Xenopus tropicalis: one gene and its partners. Each later gene encodes a partner of the first gene's protein in a complex. Links are inferred from orthologs where the notes say so. Each region holds a gene or a part of one and is shown in the gene's direction. Other genes may lie near its edges.

What was found.
Region 2: washc4 (region 1) and washc3 share a complex: the UniProt entries of both Homo sapiens proteins name them as parts of the WASH core complex. The link is inferred for Xenopus tropicalis from reciprocal best matches to the Homo sapiens genes WASHC4 and WASHC3.
Region 3: washc4 (region 1) and washc1 share a complex: the UniProt entries of both Homo sapiens proteins name them as parts of the WASH core complex. The link is inferred for Xenopus tropicalis from reciprocal best matches to the Homo sapiens genes WASHC4 and WASHC1.
Region 4: washc4 (region 1) and washc5 share a complex: the UniProt entries of both Homo sapiens proteins name them as parts of the WASH core complex. The link is inferred for Xenopus tropicalis from reciprocal best matches to the Homo sapiens genes WASHC4 and WASHC5.

The regions. Positions count from the first base shown.
Region 1 is NC_030679.2:50,296,230-50,299,797, forward strand, and holds part of washc4 (WASH complex subunit 4), read left to right. Parts: intron 1-560; coding exon 561-668; intron 669-1,229; coding exon 1,230-1,376; intron 1,377-2,555; coding exon 2,556-2,635; intron 2,636-3,568. UniProt on the Homo sapiens protein: Acts as a component of the WASH core complex that functions as a nucleation-promoting factor (NPF) at the surface of endosomes, where it recruits and activates the Arp2/3 complex to induce actin polymerization, playing a key role in the fission of tubules that serve as transport intermediates during endosome sorting.
Region 2 is NC_030679.2:49,099,137-49,103,263, reverse strand, and holds the start of washc3 (WASH complex subunit CCDC53), read left to right. Parts: upstream 1-1,323; 5' UTR 1,324-1,390; coding exon 1,391-1,441; intron 1,442-3,611; coding exon 3,612-3,710; intron 3,711-4,065; coding exon 4,066-4,127. UniProt on the Homo sapiens protein: Acts as a component of the WASH core complex that functions as a nucleation-promoting factor (NPF) at the surface of endosomes, where it recruits and activates the Arp2/3 complex to induce actin polymerization, playing a key role in the fission of tubules that serve as transport intermediates during endosome sorting.
Region 3 is NC_030679.2:10,194,604-10,198,171, forward strand, and holds part of washc1 (WASH complex subunit 1), read left to right. Parts: intron 1-440; coding exon 441-577; intron 578-872; coding exon 873-1,008; intron 1,009-1,079; coding exon 1,080-1,287; intron 1,288-2,488; coding exon 2,489-2,653; intron 2,654-2,802; coding exon 2,803-2,961; intron 2,962-3,568. UniProt on the Homo sapiens protein: Acts as a component of the WASH core complex that functions as a nucleation-promoting factor (NPF) at the surface of endosomes, where it recruits and activates the Arp2/3 complex to induce actin polymerization, playing a key role in the fission of tubules that serve as transport intermediates during endosome sorting.
Region 4 is NC_030682.2:140,395,665-140,399,232, reverse strand, and holds part of washc5 (WASH complex subunit 5), read left to right. Parts: intron 1-546; coding exon 547-648; intron 649-1,014; coding exon 1,015-1,194; intron 1,195-1,751; coding exon 1,752-1,876; intron 1,877-1,964; coding exon 1,965-2,127; intron 2,128-2,542; coding exon 2,543-2,645; intron 2,646-3,132; coding exon 3,133-3,212; intron 3,213-3,392; coding exon 3,393-3,496; intron 3,497-3,568. UniProt on the Homo sapiens protein: Acts as a component of the WASH core complex that functions as a nucleation-promoting factor (NPF) at the surface of endosomes, where it recruits and activates the Arp2/3 complex to induce actin polymerization, playing a key role in the fission of tubules that serve as transport intermediates during endosome sorting.

The DNA.
Region 1 (3,568 bases):
GCGGAGCGCTTCCTCCGTCCGCCTTCCTTTTACTACGACTAAATGACAGGCGCATGTGCAGTAGAGTGAAAAGCTGACTTCTCTGTTAAAGTTCGGCTTTTCACTCTACTGCGCATGCGCGTGCTAGCAAAGCAGGAAGGAGGAAGCGCTGCAGGTACCCCAGGTTGGTGCTGTTCTCTCCTAACAGGGGCACCAGCCCTGGGTAAGGGTAGGTGATTAAAGTCACTTGGGGGTGCCTAACATTTTGGCACCCCCAAGTGGCTTTGCCTTTCCTTCTCCTTTAACCATGTAGGTGTGTTAATTATGGCATTGCCATTGGAGACACTGAGGCTTAATACCTTGGCCATGTTCAGACAGCTGTGTTACATTTTCAGCTGTGTCTCAGGTCTTAATGGCAAGTTTGCCCAAATTACTGACATTCAGCTATGGCAATATTTAAATCCAATCTGCTTTATCTCAGGTTTAATGATTTTTTTATTTTTTTTCAACCCATTTGTTATGAGCTTATTACTATAGATGTATTCCTGTGTTAAGACTTTGCATTCTGTTCATGTTCATAGGCAATAGAACACACTTTTCACAGGAGAAGCATGGTTGTAGCGGATTCTGTATCACACATTACACAGCACCTCCAGCATCAAGCTCTTGCTGCCATTGCTGTTGCTAAGGTAGGGGTGGACTAATCAATTCATCTTTTAAAATGTCAACAATTCTCATCAGGAAACTTACCAGTTCTGACCAGTCTTTTCTTTATTCCCCCAGAAATCTACTAACTATTCTGGCATTGTGTGGATTTATTTTAAAGGTTTAATAATGTGTTTTTTTTAGGAGCAGTGTTTATATCAATATGTGACCAATAAAGCATATAGTGACTTTAGTGAGTTGCTTTGTGACAGCACAGCTTCACTTCATGCCATTGTGTCCCCCACACAAATTGTCTCAGCAATGACATGTGGGCAGTGAATAGAATGGTTTAGCTGCTCAGGCAGTGGGTGAGGGAAGCTGTGCTGTCCGCAGGACCCTATCCACTGGAGACCTCTCAAGGGATATTTTGTTTTATATTGTTCATTATTATCGTGTGTGTTTTTTCAGTGTGTTGAAATCAAATTACACAGCAGTGTTAAAATTAAGTTGGTAGTCCCTGATGCAAATACTTTACTAAATGTAGACCCCTACATTGGTTACATACATATATTTTTTCATTTTTGTTTATATCTCTTCTAATACAGAAAAGGGTTATTTCTGATAAGAAGTACAGTGAACAACGCTTAGACGTTCTTTCTGCCCTTGTATTGGCAGAGAATACTCTCAATGGTCCCAGTACAAGACAGAGAAGGCTCATTGTGTCATTAGCCCTAAGTGTGGGGACACAAATGGTAAGTTCCTCGAATGAATGATATCATTACCATTTGTGCTCTTTGTTTCACTGAACATCTGACTGAGAGAGATGCAGCATAGAGACAGAGAGATTGAAAGATAAAGGGATGGTAGTGTCCTGTAATTTATTATGTTGTATTTATATAACACTGATGCATTTATTCAGCTCTTTGCAGAAATTCTTCATCATTCTCGTAAGACCCTGCCCTAGTGAATCTTAACATCCTATTCACATAGCACACACACAGCTATCAATCTAACTGGCTGTATGGGAGTAGGAATAAACCCTGAAAAAGTAATGCTAACTAGTGAGTCACCTTGCTGCCTATGGGCCATGCCTTGGACAATGTGCAAGATCCAACAGTTTTTTATTTAATACGCAGCTTCTTATGGATGTCCAGAATGCAGTTATTCAGCTGTCACCATAAATGGTGAAATCGTTTATTCTCCTAATTAAAGGAGAAGGAAAGGCTAATAAAGAGTTAATCTCAAGCTGCAGGCATACCTTCAGTTCTCTCAATAGTGTCCTTAAATCTCCCCATATTTCACCTGTTCAGATGATCAGAAGCCAAACAGGAAAGAAAACGCTGAGCTATGTAAAGAAAGTTCCCATAATGCCTTGCTTCTGCACTGAGACCCAGACCAGTGTACATGCTCAGTTTGTAAGACTATGAGGAAGCTTCCTGCTGATTGGCTCAGATACACATTCCTAAGGGGGGGGAGTGAGTTCTTAGCATTCTAGAGGGAGGGGGGAGCAGGAGAGAGGAGAGAGCTGCGTGTCTCTGGCAGAGGAAAACAGACACAACATCTTTTGACAGATAACTCAGTGCATCGTTTCTGTGAATGCTTATGGCTGTATTTACTTAGACCTTTCTGATAAAGCTTACTTAGTTTTTACCTTTCTTTCTCCTTTAATGTAGTTGCACTCTCTGTACCTTTTACAATTCTTTTACTAAAGCTTTACCTTCATAATTAAGGTGTCTAAGCTATGATTTATATGAGCCATACTGTTAGATATAGAATCTGTATAGCTTGTCTGGTTTTAGCAAGCTAGCATGGTCACATAAAGCTAGTTCTTTTCATTCTACTCCACACAGTAAAACCAAAAGACGAGTGATTTACTTTTTCATTGTGAAAAATGGCTGTCTATAGATTTCTGCATTATTGTACCTTTATAGAAAACCTTTAAAGATGAAGAGCTTCTCCCACTTTTGCTTGTAATGAAGAAACTGGACTTAATAAGCGAGTTAAGAGAAAGGTAAGGAAGCGTCAGTAACTAAATGTATATCAAGACTAACGTTAAACTGCTTTATCGGAATACGCCTGTATATCTGCATGATAATTGTTGTGCCTGCAATTAAATTTCTAATTACAAAATGTAGGAGAAGCCATTTTATACATTTCTTTTGGTTAGTAGTTCAAGGGCAAGGGCAAACAAATTAAGTGAGTATAGCAGATGATCCACCTTCATGTGCCATTCAAAAGAGAGGCTACTGGCACACAAAGTCAAGGAGGACTAGCCCATAACTTTTTATTATGCCAAAACTATACAATGTTTCGGGGGAGAACACCCATGAAAACACTGTGTGGTTTTGGCATAATAAAAAGTTAGGGGCTAGTTTCCCTTGGATCAGCTTTGTGTGGTAGTGCCAGAAATACTGAGCACCAAGCATACAGTACAGAGGCCTGGGTGTGTGTGTGGGTGTTTTCTGCCTTCATGTTCTACATATCCTATAACTAGAGTTCATGCAGTTTGTTGTTTTTTATGGAAAACTATGCACTAGTTTATTTTTTTTTTATTAGGTATTTTTCTACCAAAGTCCATCAAGTTCAACCCTTCCAAGTGAACCCCAGCATATACATAAACCTATCCTGACCTATCCATGCATTCACATACATAAACCATACATACTAACATCAAGATTTTAGTATCACAATAGCCTTGGATATTATGCTTGTTCAAGAAATCATCCAGGCATTAACAGAATCTGCCATCACAACATCACTAGGGCATTCCCCAACCTCACTGCTCTCATTATCTAATCTAAAGGGGTGGCCTCTGGTGCACTGATCATTTTTTTCCTCAGTAACTTTTTGTGCTGTACTGTATCAAATGCTTCAGCAAAGCCCAAGTAGATGACATCCATTGCCATCCCAGCATTGAGGTTCCTGCTCGCCTCCTCATAAAAGG
Region 2 (4,127 bases), about 1.2 Mb from region 1:
AGATCCTTGTCTTGCTAATAAAGAAACATTTGCCCATGCCTCAGTTATCTTTTTGTCGCGGGCGACTAATCTCCCCGTCTACCACGGCCATAAAGAAAAGCAGACCCCACACCAATATGTTACTACCACCATATTTTACTGTTAGTAAACTATATCAAGAGCTCCTTATAACACTTCAGTTTTCCAAAAAGCATGAAAGTAAGCCACCTGTGACATAACAAATGTGAATTTATAGAATAGGCAGATAGAACAGTCACATTATGGTACTTTGCTTTGCTAGTTAGTCATATGGACCCTAAAGGGACAACTATGGCTTTTGTTTTTGTTTTCTCTATTTTACTTTATATTAGTTATTTTTCTCTGTATACTTTTTGCCTGACCCATGGATATGGGCCAATACTATTGGTGCCAGTTTTAAAAGTAGCACAAGTGAAACAGCAGTTTTTTTCTCTGGTAATCCTTAAACAATAAAACCTCAAACTTACAATATTCGGTGCGTGTATGGTATGTCGGCGAGTCGACCGATATCGCAAGAAGCTGCTGATAACGGCCAACTCGCTGATCGGACCAGTTTGAACATTTTGATCGGGCGCCATAGAAGGCGCCTGACCAAAATCTCCCTTCAGCGCTGAATCGGCAGGAGGTAGAAATCCTATTGTTTCTACCTCCTTACCTGCCGATTCAGCCCTGAATGGTGTGTGGCGGATCTGACGATGTTTCGTGCGACCGATGGTCGCCACGTGTATGGCCAGCTTAAGGTGGCAACCCTATCTAGTGCAAAAAGTGCTACTGTGCTCTCTGTGATAGCGATGCACTAGCCCCTTCTGATGCAAAAAAAAAAAAAATGGTCTCAGGGTGGCATTATAGGTAAAACACCTCTGCCCAGGTCCCTTCTATAATATACTTTTATAAAAGTAAAAAAATTGAGCAGCCACTGAATACAAGGTTTGTAATAATAATTAAAAAAAAACCAACAACCCTGCAGCCAGCAGGAGAGGGCTGAGGCGACACATTATGCTCCCTGTACAAAAGAGTTTGCGGCACCCATAACCAGTTCATTTGTTACTGCACTTCCCTTCCTGCTCAAAAGCTGCAATCTGCTGCCTACTAATACAAACGAATTAAGAAACTCATCTGGCATTGAGTGGGTTAAGTCTAAAAAGCAAGTGCTTTGAGTGGCGTTAGTCACATGAATACGTCGGAAACAGAAGCAGTTCTGTAGTCACTGAATCATTATTAAGCCAGCAGCAACTTTAGCCATGGAGGTTTTATAAGCAAGAGAGGTTCTGTGTGCCGCTCTGGCTTCAGTCTTCTCTATGGTACGGAAGGAATCACATGACAGACCATGTCACAACACAAGGTAGTGCAGTGAGCAAGGGGAGCTGGGCTGATGGATGAAGACGGGCTGCCTATAGTGGGCTCTGGGATTGACCTCACTAAGGTGCGTCTTTTAGGGGGAAGTGAAGGGGAATGGGCAGATTTAATGTGTATTGTAATGTGTGTTCATGTGCATTTTTCTAGTCAGTCAGCTCTACACTAACCTGTAGTCATTAAGGGAAGGCAAGTTACACTTTTACTGTGTATTCATTCATTTTATTTACTGTGCAGTCATGATATTGGTACTGTAATGTTCTTAGCATATCCATATGGCTCCTGTCTTAACTGACCTGCTGTCCCATATACTTGATTATTTACTGTTACTGCACTTGTCTGTAGCTGATGTTTCATAGTGCTTTGTGGTGTTACACTTGCTGTAAAGATGTCCAGTTGTTCAAATTGTGGCTAGGCTTTTCCTTAATGGCACATACATCATGTGTTTCAAAAAAAGCCATTTCCACGAAAGCATTGGTCAGCTCCATTCAGACTCAGACACAATCGGGCTTGTTTATGGCTGCAGTTGTGATGGTGCTAATCAAGGATGCAATCATTAAGAGATTCATTAAAGGTATTTGTGCACTTGCTTATATTTGAACTAAGTAACCTTGTGCCTGTCTGTGCATCTAATGATGCAGGGGAACCCTAGTGCTACCTCTAGCTTGCAGGTGGCCGTAATTCCAGGGTTCCCATTGTGAGCTGCATCAACAGGCACAGCAAACTTACACCCAAAAAATCACATGCAGGTGTCTTTTTAACACAGAGTGGTGGAAATAATGCAGTAGCCTCTACAACTATTTTAATCACATTTGCGTACTTCAGAAGCAGTAGCCCTCTCATTAAGGGTGAAGTCACACTGAGCTACTAGTAGCAGCTACTTTTTCACAGCTACTAAACTCCAGAAAATACCTTGCCATAGACAATAACGGTGAAGGCACACAGAGCTACTTAGTAGCAGCTACTTGTCAAGGCTACTAAATGCCAGAAAATACCCAGCCTTAGACAATACCGAGAATTGCCCCTGCTAAAACATACGTAGAGACAGTAGCCACGACAAGTAGCTGCTACTAATAGCTCTGTGTGTCTTCATCTTAACACTGAAGTACATTGCCTCTTCCGTTTATAAAACATCTCCGCTGGCTTAAGGTCTTAAAAATGTGTTTTTCAAAGGGCTTTATTATGTCATACTGCTGCTTAATAATCCCAGGGATACAGCATCCCTGTTAACAGCGAAGCCCTTCTACCCACTATTATTTTTTGATTAATCCTGTAGACATAACTGTCCTTTGCTGTTGTGCAGAGGACTCTGGTTAGAAGTGTATACACACAGCTAGTATACACGGCCGTCAGCCATGGGCTGCAGAGTGAGATATCCTAATTAACTGGGCTTCTGTATCTTCAGGATTGTGGAATAATTCTATGGCATTTGTTTGAACTCACACTTTTAAGTTTAGTTACCCTATGGAGAATTGGATAAAATCTCTTTTCATTGCAAACTATTAAATCCTTCCCTCAATATCCACTCTTTTTAAAGGTGTGTCTCAATGATGTGCACTAACTAACCCCGATTGTTCAGCTGTGTAAAGGTGGCCATACATGGTAAAATTCACTTGTATGATGGCGTCGCTTAACAAGTGAATCTTTCCCCGGATATGCTCACCTTGAGCGGGTGATATTGTGCTAATGTGATTGTTTGGCCCTAGGGCCAAAAGATTACATTAAAATGAACGGGATATGAGAAGTTGGAGCAAGTACCGCATTAATGATCGGGGAGTCCTGTCCCAATACACAGGCAGATAAGCTCGGTCTAAAGGATCCGAATTAGCAGCTTAAATATGTTGTGTATGGCCATCTTTACATCTTGTCATCCTCGAGCAAGGAGCCCTGCAAAGATGCAGGCAGCTGTAACTTCAGAACTGCAAAAGTGCCTCTGCTGGTCATTATGTGCCAGGCCCCATAGAGTTATTCTGATTAGAGTTTTGGAAATATTGCCTTGGTCAAAAAGCCTTTCAGTTTGTCATTAGTAGGCTAGTTCTATTAAACATTTCACCACTCATCGGAGGAGCTTCTAATTCAAGTTGCTTTAGATTTAACACAACTAGGTATTGTTTTCCATGGCCTGGATGAATGAACCCTTTATATACCTGTTCAAACTAATATCCGTTGCTTGCACTGTGTTCTATACCTTTTGCAAATGCAGTATACTGACCTTTTTTCTTTTATTTAATAAACCCTAGGTCCCACCTATTCAGCAGAAAAGAACAGTGGCATTTTTGAACCAGTTTGTTGTGCACTCTGTTCAGTTCCTTAACCGGTTTGCTACAGTTTGTGAAGAGGTACTGTATTCCTAGCGTGTTCTAGCTTTCCCTCTTTTCTACAGCATTGACTGGAAACCAAGTGCTACTTAGTCTATTGCAGCTTGCACTGTTCAGATGAGAGAATGTTATGGTAAATGTTATCGTTTGAAATCTCAGTACATGTACATTTTGGGGCTTTCAGGTAATTTAATGGCTGCACGGGCTTGGTGGGAGCTTACATTACATTGCCCATATGAACAGGGTCTTCTCTATATGCTGCATAGGCCAGTGATCCTATTTAATTTGCATCTTTGATTATTTACCCCTCACAGAGCTACAGAATATGTCCATTATTTAGACCTTTAATGTTGGTACTTTGTTTTTATTGTTTTAGAAACTTTCTGCCTTGTCCCTACGTATTCAGCAGATTGAAACAACCCTTAATATTTTGGAAGC
Region 3 (3,568 bases), about 40 Mb from region 1:
GCTCTGTTATACAGATAGCTAGAATCTCAGCCATAAAGCAGGGCAGGACTGCTGCTTACAATGGGGGGGATCATATAGGATCTGTGCCACTGTGACAGAATGCTCTGTTATACAGATAGCTAGAATCTCAGCCATAAAGCAGGGCAGGACTGCTGCTTACAATGGGAGGATCAGATAGGATCTGTGCCACTGTGACAGAATGCTCTGTTATACAGATAGCTAGAATCTCAGCCATAAAGCAGGGCAGGACTGCTGCTTACAATGGAGGGGGATCAGATAGGATCTGTGCCACTGTGACAGAATGCTCTGTTATACAGATAGCTAGAATCTCAGCCATAAAGCAGGGCAGGGTTGCTGCTTACAATGGGGATCAGATTACCAGGGAGACAACAATGGAGGAATTGTTGTTGCATTAGTAGTTTCTTTATTATCTTCTCCAGGAAAAACTGAAGTATTTCCCAGTGTGCGTGAATACAAGAGGGCAAGATGAGGAGAGCGCAGAAGAAGGGTTGGGCAGCCTCCCCAGAAACATCAGTTCTGTCAGCTCCTTGCTCCTTTTCAACACAACAGAGAATCTGTAAGTCCATAAGGATAATGAATGTATTAAACCAAGTGATGCCTGGGGTACATTGGCACTGCCCTGTAGAATAGGTTGATGAATCTCCAAATGGTTGGTGGCTTTGGTTCCTGGAACTGGGAATGTGGTTGGAACATGGGAGAGGGGGGCTCAGGGCTTGGGAGTGGTGTACTACTTACTGAGATGGACCTTAGAAATGGTTCTCTATAGGAAGGTGTAGGGATCTGGTACCACAAATGGTGGAATATGATCAAGGTCAATCAAAGTCCTCTCATTGTATCACCCCTATTAACAGCTATAAGAAGTACGTGTTCCTTGACCCACTTGCTGGGGTCGTGACTCGTACCAACCCGGCATTAGAAGGAGAGGATGAGGAGAAGCTTTTCGATGCACCCCTTTCCATCACGAAGAGGGAACAGCTGGAGCGACAGGTAAGGCAGTTGGTCACTTGATGTTCCAAAAGGCGAACTCCGGTTAACATAGACAACTCCTTTCCCTTTAGACTGCGGAGAACTACTTCTATGTCCCAGACCTTGGGCAGGTTCCCGAAATAGATGTCCCGTACTCTCTGCCGGACCTGCCGGGGGTGGCTGATGATCTCATGTACAGCGCCGACCTTGGGCCTGGCATCGCTCCTTCTGCACCTGGAGTTCCTATCCCCGAGCTTCCAACCTTCATCACAGAGGACATCACAGAAAACTCTAGGACAGGTGACTTTATTCCCAGACTGTAAGGTGGACCTTTTCAGTTTAAGCTTCTATTGAAGGTCTAAACTTTGGTCAGGACCACCTTTAGCACTTATCAAGGTTACAGGTTTAGGAGAGCAGGGTGTATCAGCCAATCGGCCATAGTTCTAAAGGTCCCCATACACAGGCCGTTTGTAGCTGCTGATATGGGTCCCTTGGACCGATTCGGCAGCTTATCGGCCCGTGTATGGGCACTACCGACGGGCCTGCCCGACCGATATCTGGCCTGAAATCGGGCAGATATCAATTAGGCAGGTTTAAAAATTTAGTCGGATCGGTGAACGCATTGGCTTGTTGATGCGATCCCTGAACCGACTGCGCCTATTACGGGCATTCTAATACGACCGTTTGGCCCCAGGGCCAAACGAACAAATTAGCCTGAATTAGCCCAATATCGCCCACCCGTAGGTAGGGATATCGGGAGAAGATCCGCTCACTTGGCGACCTTGGTGTATGGCCACCTTAAAGGTCCCCATACATGGGTAGATCAGCTCGCTTGGCGATGTCGCCAAGCAAGCGGATCTTCTCCTGATATCCCCAACCTACGGGTGGGCGATATCAGGAGAATCCAGGGTAATTCGATTGTTTGGCCCTGGGGCCAAACGATCGAATTATAATGATGGGTATAGGCAAAGTCGGTCCGGGGACCGCATCAACGAGCCGATGTGGTCCCCGATCCGACTAGATTTTGTAACCTGCCTGATCGAGATCAGGCCGATTTCAAGCCAGAGATCGGTTGGACAGGCCCGTCGGTAGTGCCCCTACACGGGCCGATAAGCTGCCGAATCAGTCTAAGGGACCCATATCTGCAGCTATTATGGGCCCATGTATGGGGACCTTAAGGAGTATATAGGGCAGAAAATAAGTCTTCTCCCCCAAATTTCACCCTTACTGACCATCAAGCTGGGCTTCTATGTGCATGTGGGAATGCGAATAGGCATTGTAGATCTAGATATTACAACTGGCCTTTAGGATAAGCTACCCCTCTATGCTCGAGGCCCCCCCCAGAGGTAAGTGGTCTTCACAGATCCAAGCAAAAATGACCTTCAAGCTGGGCTTTTAAATGTATGTAGAAGATCACACAGGCGTTCGTCATGTTTATTGTGGATAACATGACGAGAACTGCTGGATTATTCCTAAAAGATAGAATATTTATCTTTTTCAGACAGTCAGGATGGTCGACTTCTCCCACCTCCGCCGCCACCCCCTCCTCCTCCACCTCCCCCACCCCCTCCTGAACCCAGTGTCCTGTCGCCCCCTACATCTCTGGCCCCACCTTTGCCTATACCTGCCCCTGCCAGGGTTGGCAGCAGCGATGTTGGAGACCCAGGTAAGATGACATCTTTGGACTTCAAAAATGTTATGGTATATTTAAAGTTGTTATTGCCTTTAGCCGTTTCAGCCTTCTATACAATGCCATTGTTCTGGAACATCTAACTAAAAACTCATCCAGGCCCCAACCGCATTGGGTTCCCTTAGGTTCTCTACAGGGGGCTCCCAAAGAAGTGGTCAATCCCTCTGACGGAAGAGCATCCTTGCTGGAGTCCATCCGCCAGGCTGGGGGCATTGGGAAAGCCAAACTGCGTAATGTGAAGGAGAAAAAGCTAGAGAAGAAGAAGATGAAGGAGCAGGAACAGGGTGAGTGAAGAGTTAAAAACGCCCTTGCGCATGGCTGCTTTAATAGTCTGTAAGCAATAAAGATTGACAAGGGCTCCAAAGCCAAGAAAGTTCCCTCTGGGCTGCCAGGAACAGATCAGCGCTGTGACAGCTGAAGGCCACACTTGGATGGGTTCAACAGTATCTGGCTGTGGGGCCTCTGTAGAGTAACTACTGTTTTCCGCTGATAATGGCTCGGAGAGGGTGCAGCGCCTATCGGCTGTGAAATGGAACTATTAGGCAGCGTGGGGATGTGCGCGTTAGATTAGCATTGTGTATAGAGGGGATATTCAGGGCACTGACAAGGTCTAAACATGGCAAGATCTCCTATTAACCTGATCAGTTATAGAAGCACTTAAAAGGGGACTTGTTATATACTCAGTTATTAGAGGAGCTTTGAGAACATTTTAATATAGAATCAGGGCAGTCCTAGCTATCTGTATAACAGAGCATTCTGTCACAGTGGCACAGATCCTATCTGATCCCCCCATTGTAAGCAGCAGTCCTGCCCTGCTTTATGGCTGAGATTCTAGCTATCTGTATAACAGAGCATTCTGTCACAGTGGCACAGATCCTATCTGATCCCCCC
Region 4 (3,568 bases), on another chromosome or scaffold:
TGTACCAGCTACTCCCTATGGGTCACATAATGCACTGCAATATGAGAAGAATTCCTTGGTAGACTTGGCCTTCCCCCTAATGTATTGCACCCCTCTGCTTTGTTCTCCCAATAGTATCAGCATATTGATACGCTCCATTTTAGTAGTAGAGTTAAAACCCATTACTATCTGTGAATGAATTCACTAGCTATTCAGTTCAGCTGCAGGCAGATGCATCAGTATTATCTGCTGTAATTATACCTAACGTACTGTTTAGTAATATAGAAACTACATTATCTAAAGATATCCTTTTATCTAAAAAGTGCCATGTGATGTCAGCCAGAGCTAATATGTCACTGTGCAACTGTACCAACAGTCTGTACTATTTATAACAGGGAATTTGTGTTGTCTCTTTAAACCACACTTATAATGGTATGTGCCTGTTTTCATATTGTAAGTTTTTGATATTCTCCTGTGCTTAAACCATTGCCAGCAATCATTAATTAGCACTGTGCACATAAGGAATATGTGAGAAATCTTAATCTTTGTTTAACTTGGTCTTCATAGGTGGATCCAAAGCAGCTTTTGGAGGATGGGATCAGGAAGGAGTTGGTTAAAAGAGTTGCTGTTGCTCTACACAAAGGGCTTATCTTCAACTCCAGAGCAAAGGTAGAACTGCAGAGTGGTCTGTGCTTTATTTCATTTGATTACAATGCGCACAGAATAGAATGAAAGGGCAGTACAGTACAGCACAGTACCTCTCACACTCAGTGACATTCCCCTGGAGATTGCCTCTCAAGCCTTACATGTATCTTATCTGATCTAGGTATTTAATAGGAATCCTCCCATGGGGGGAACTACACTGTCATAATATACCGGTCACATTCAGCTGTGCTGGATTATAGCAACAAAGGGGTATTTAAAGGGGCAAAACCAGCAAGTTAGGTTTATCATGAACTACAAAAAATAGGACTTTTGTTTAAAACCTCTCTTGCCTGTTCCTTTTATGGAAAAAAAAATTGCATTTTCTTGTAGCCCAGCGAACTGCTGCCAAAGCTGAAAGACATGGCTGCCACCATGGATGGATTCCATCGCTCCTTCGAGTACATACAAGACTACGTCAGCATTTATGGCTTGAAAATTTGGCAGGAGGAAGTATCCCGTATTGTTAATTACAACGTAGAACAGGAATGCAACAACTTCCTAAGAACAAAGGTACCGTGGCAGCTTTACAGTACTAAAGGAAATAACCGTTTGTGTATTTTACTTTGTAATTAAATAGGATATTTACAAACACATAGACATTTGAAAATAGTTGTCGAGGTTATAAAAAAAGATTCATATCACTCAAATTCAAACCCTCAGGGTGATGGCTCATTGGGCATGGATCCGCTCCTATAGGCTCCTGTGTGTCGCCACCCTGACAGACACAGCGGCCTGAGTGTAGCTAAATAGAGTTGAGATCGGCCCAAGAAAGCATGCTTTCAGATTTTTTAGGCCAAAAATCGCTCTATGTAACTGCAGTCAGGCCAATTCTGTGTCTGTCAGTGCAGCTACACACAGGAGCCTATAGGAACGGAACTACTTTTCTCTGCCTCCCTACAAAATACAGACAGGAAGAAAAGGACTGTATGCCAGTTTGTGATCACCCTTATAGGGAATAATTATTGTGGCATTATATCCTGCAACTTAGACCATTTACCACTGATACAGAATTATTGACATAGAAATGACCCAGTGTTTTTGATCACTTGCAATTCTATATCCAACAGATTCAAGACTGGCAGAGCATGTATCAGTCAACTCACATCCCTATTCCCAAATTTCCTCCTGTGGATGAATCAATGACGTTTATAGGACGTCTGTGTCGGGAAATCCTGAGAATTACTGATCCGAAGTAAGTAGCCAAATAAAATGTTTTTTTCACTATGAGAAAGCATTCCCCTTTTATAAATGTGTGTTTTACCCCTTTGTGTGCACGGCAGGGTTACGTGTTACATAGATCAGATGAACACGTGGTACGACATGAAAACTCACCAGGAAGTCACTAATAACCACCTCTTCTCAGAGATCAACGATTCACTGGGAACTTTTGGCTTAAATGGCTTGGACAGGTTACTTTGCTTTATGATAGTGAAGGAACTGCAGGTTTGTACCACCAGAGGGCGCACAATTATAGAGACCTTCGCATTTAAGCTTTAAAACTGTAATGTTAGATACAGGGTCGGACTGTACTAGTTACTTGAAATTACTAGAATTTACAACCCCAAATATTAGTAGGTTGACATGATATATATTGAAATTGCTCATTAATTAGGGACTCACTGGGACCACTAAACCACTGAGCCCCCCTGCAACTGCAGGGTCTGCTTCCTCTGTAGTTATGCCCCGGTGACCAGTAAATGGTTCCTGCTGATTGTATTTCATAATAAGGTTTATGACACCTACACTATTACAGTAGGATATTGATTCCATTGGGCAACAATAAAGACATGAATGTAATGCTAAAGTGTGTGCTTATTGCAGTGGCTGTGAATGAAGTCACAGGGTTGTTCTCTTTCAGAACTTCATCCTCTTGTATCAGAGGTTAATTCTGAGGGATAAAAGTGCCCAGGAGACATTACGGGCCTTACAGAAGGTAGTTACTCCAGTTAAAGGGATTGTAGGTAAGTGCTTTATTACTGATGTAATACTAGTTTCTGACAAGGCAGATTGTAATGCTGATAGCCCTGAGATTGTGGCCCTTCACTAGGGCTATAGTACTGGCGCTATTATGACTGTGTTCCAGTTATGTATAGGCTCCCGAACTGTGAGTAAATTCAGTGTTAATTGCAATGTGTTATTAGTATTTGAGACAGTAGAATGGGCCCTCTCCTGCTAAAAGGGAATTGTTGTCAGGTTTGGAACATAGGCATAATTACTATCCCAGGATAGTAGGATGTAATTTGGGAGTGAATATACATCTTGGATATAGAGTATTATGGCCAATACAAGTACATTTATAAGCACAGGAAGGCCCTCACCAAATTTTGTTTCATGTAGGGGCAGAGTTGTGTGTAGTTTTACAACATAAGAAGCTTTTCCTCAGTGGCTGTTTATAAGGCATTGTATGTTAACCCTAAGCATGATACATATATTCATTATTTTATACAGCTAATTCTGCCAAAATATACTCTGCTGCCATTGCAAAAACCCAGAAAATCTGGCCTGCTTATCTTGATGCTATAATGAAGGTAGGTAAAGGAATACTAGTTCCGAAGATTATTTGAGCGGGGGCAATTTCAGTGCTGCCAGAGATCTCAGGATTCTGGGAGTTTTCATTCAGTGACTGCTGTAATGTTATCATCATGGTCATCAATTTGTAGAGCGGATATGAGCTGCTTCATCTTAACTTTATCCTTCTGCTTTTACAGGTTGGACAGATGCAAGTGTTAAGACAACAGATTGCCAATGAGTTAAACTACTCGTGTAAATTTGACTCTAAGCACCTGGCAGGAGCCCTAGAGAACTTTAATGAGTAAGAGCTTAAACCTTCATCTAACTGTGATAAATACTGTACCCCTCTGGGACTCTAGGGGGCCATCAACCC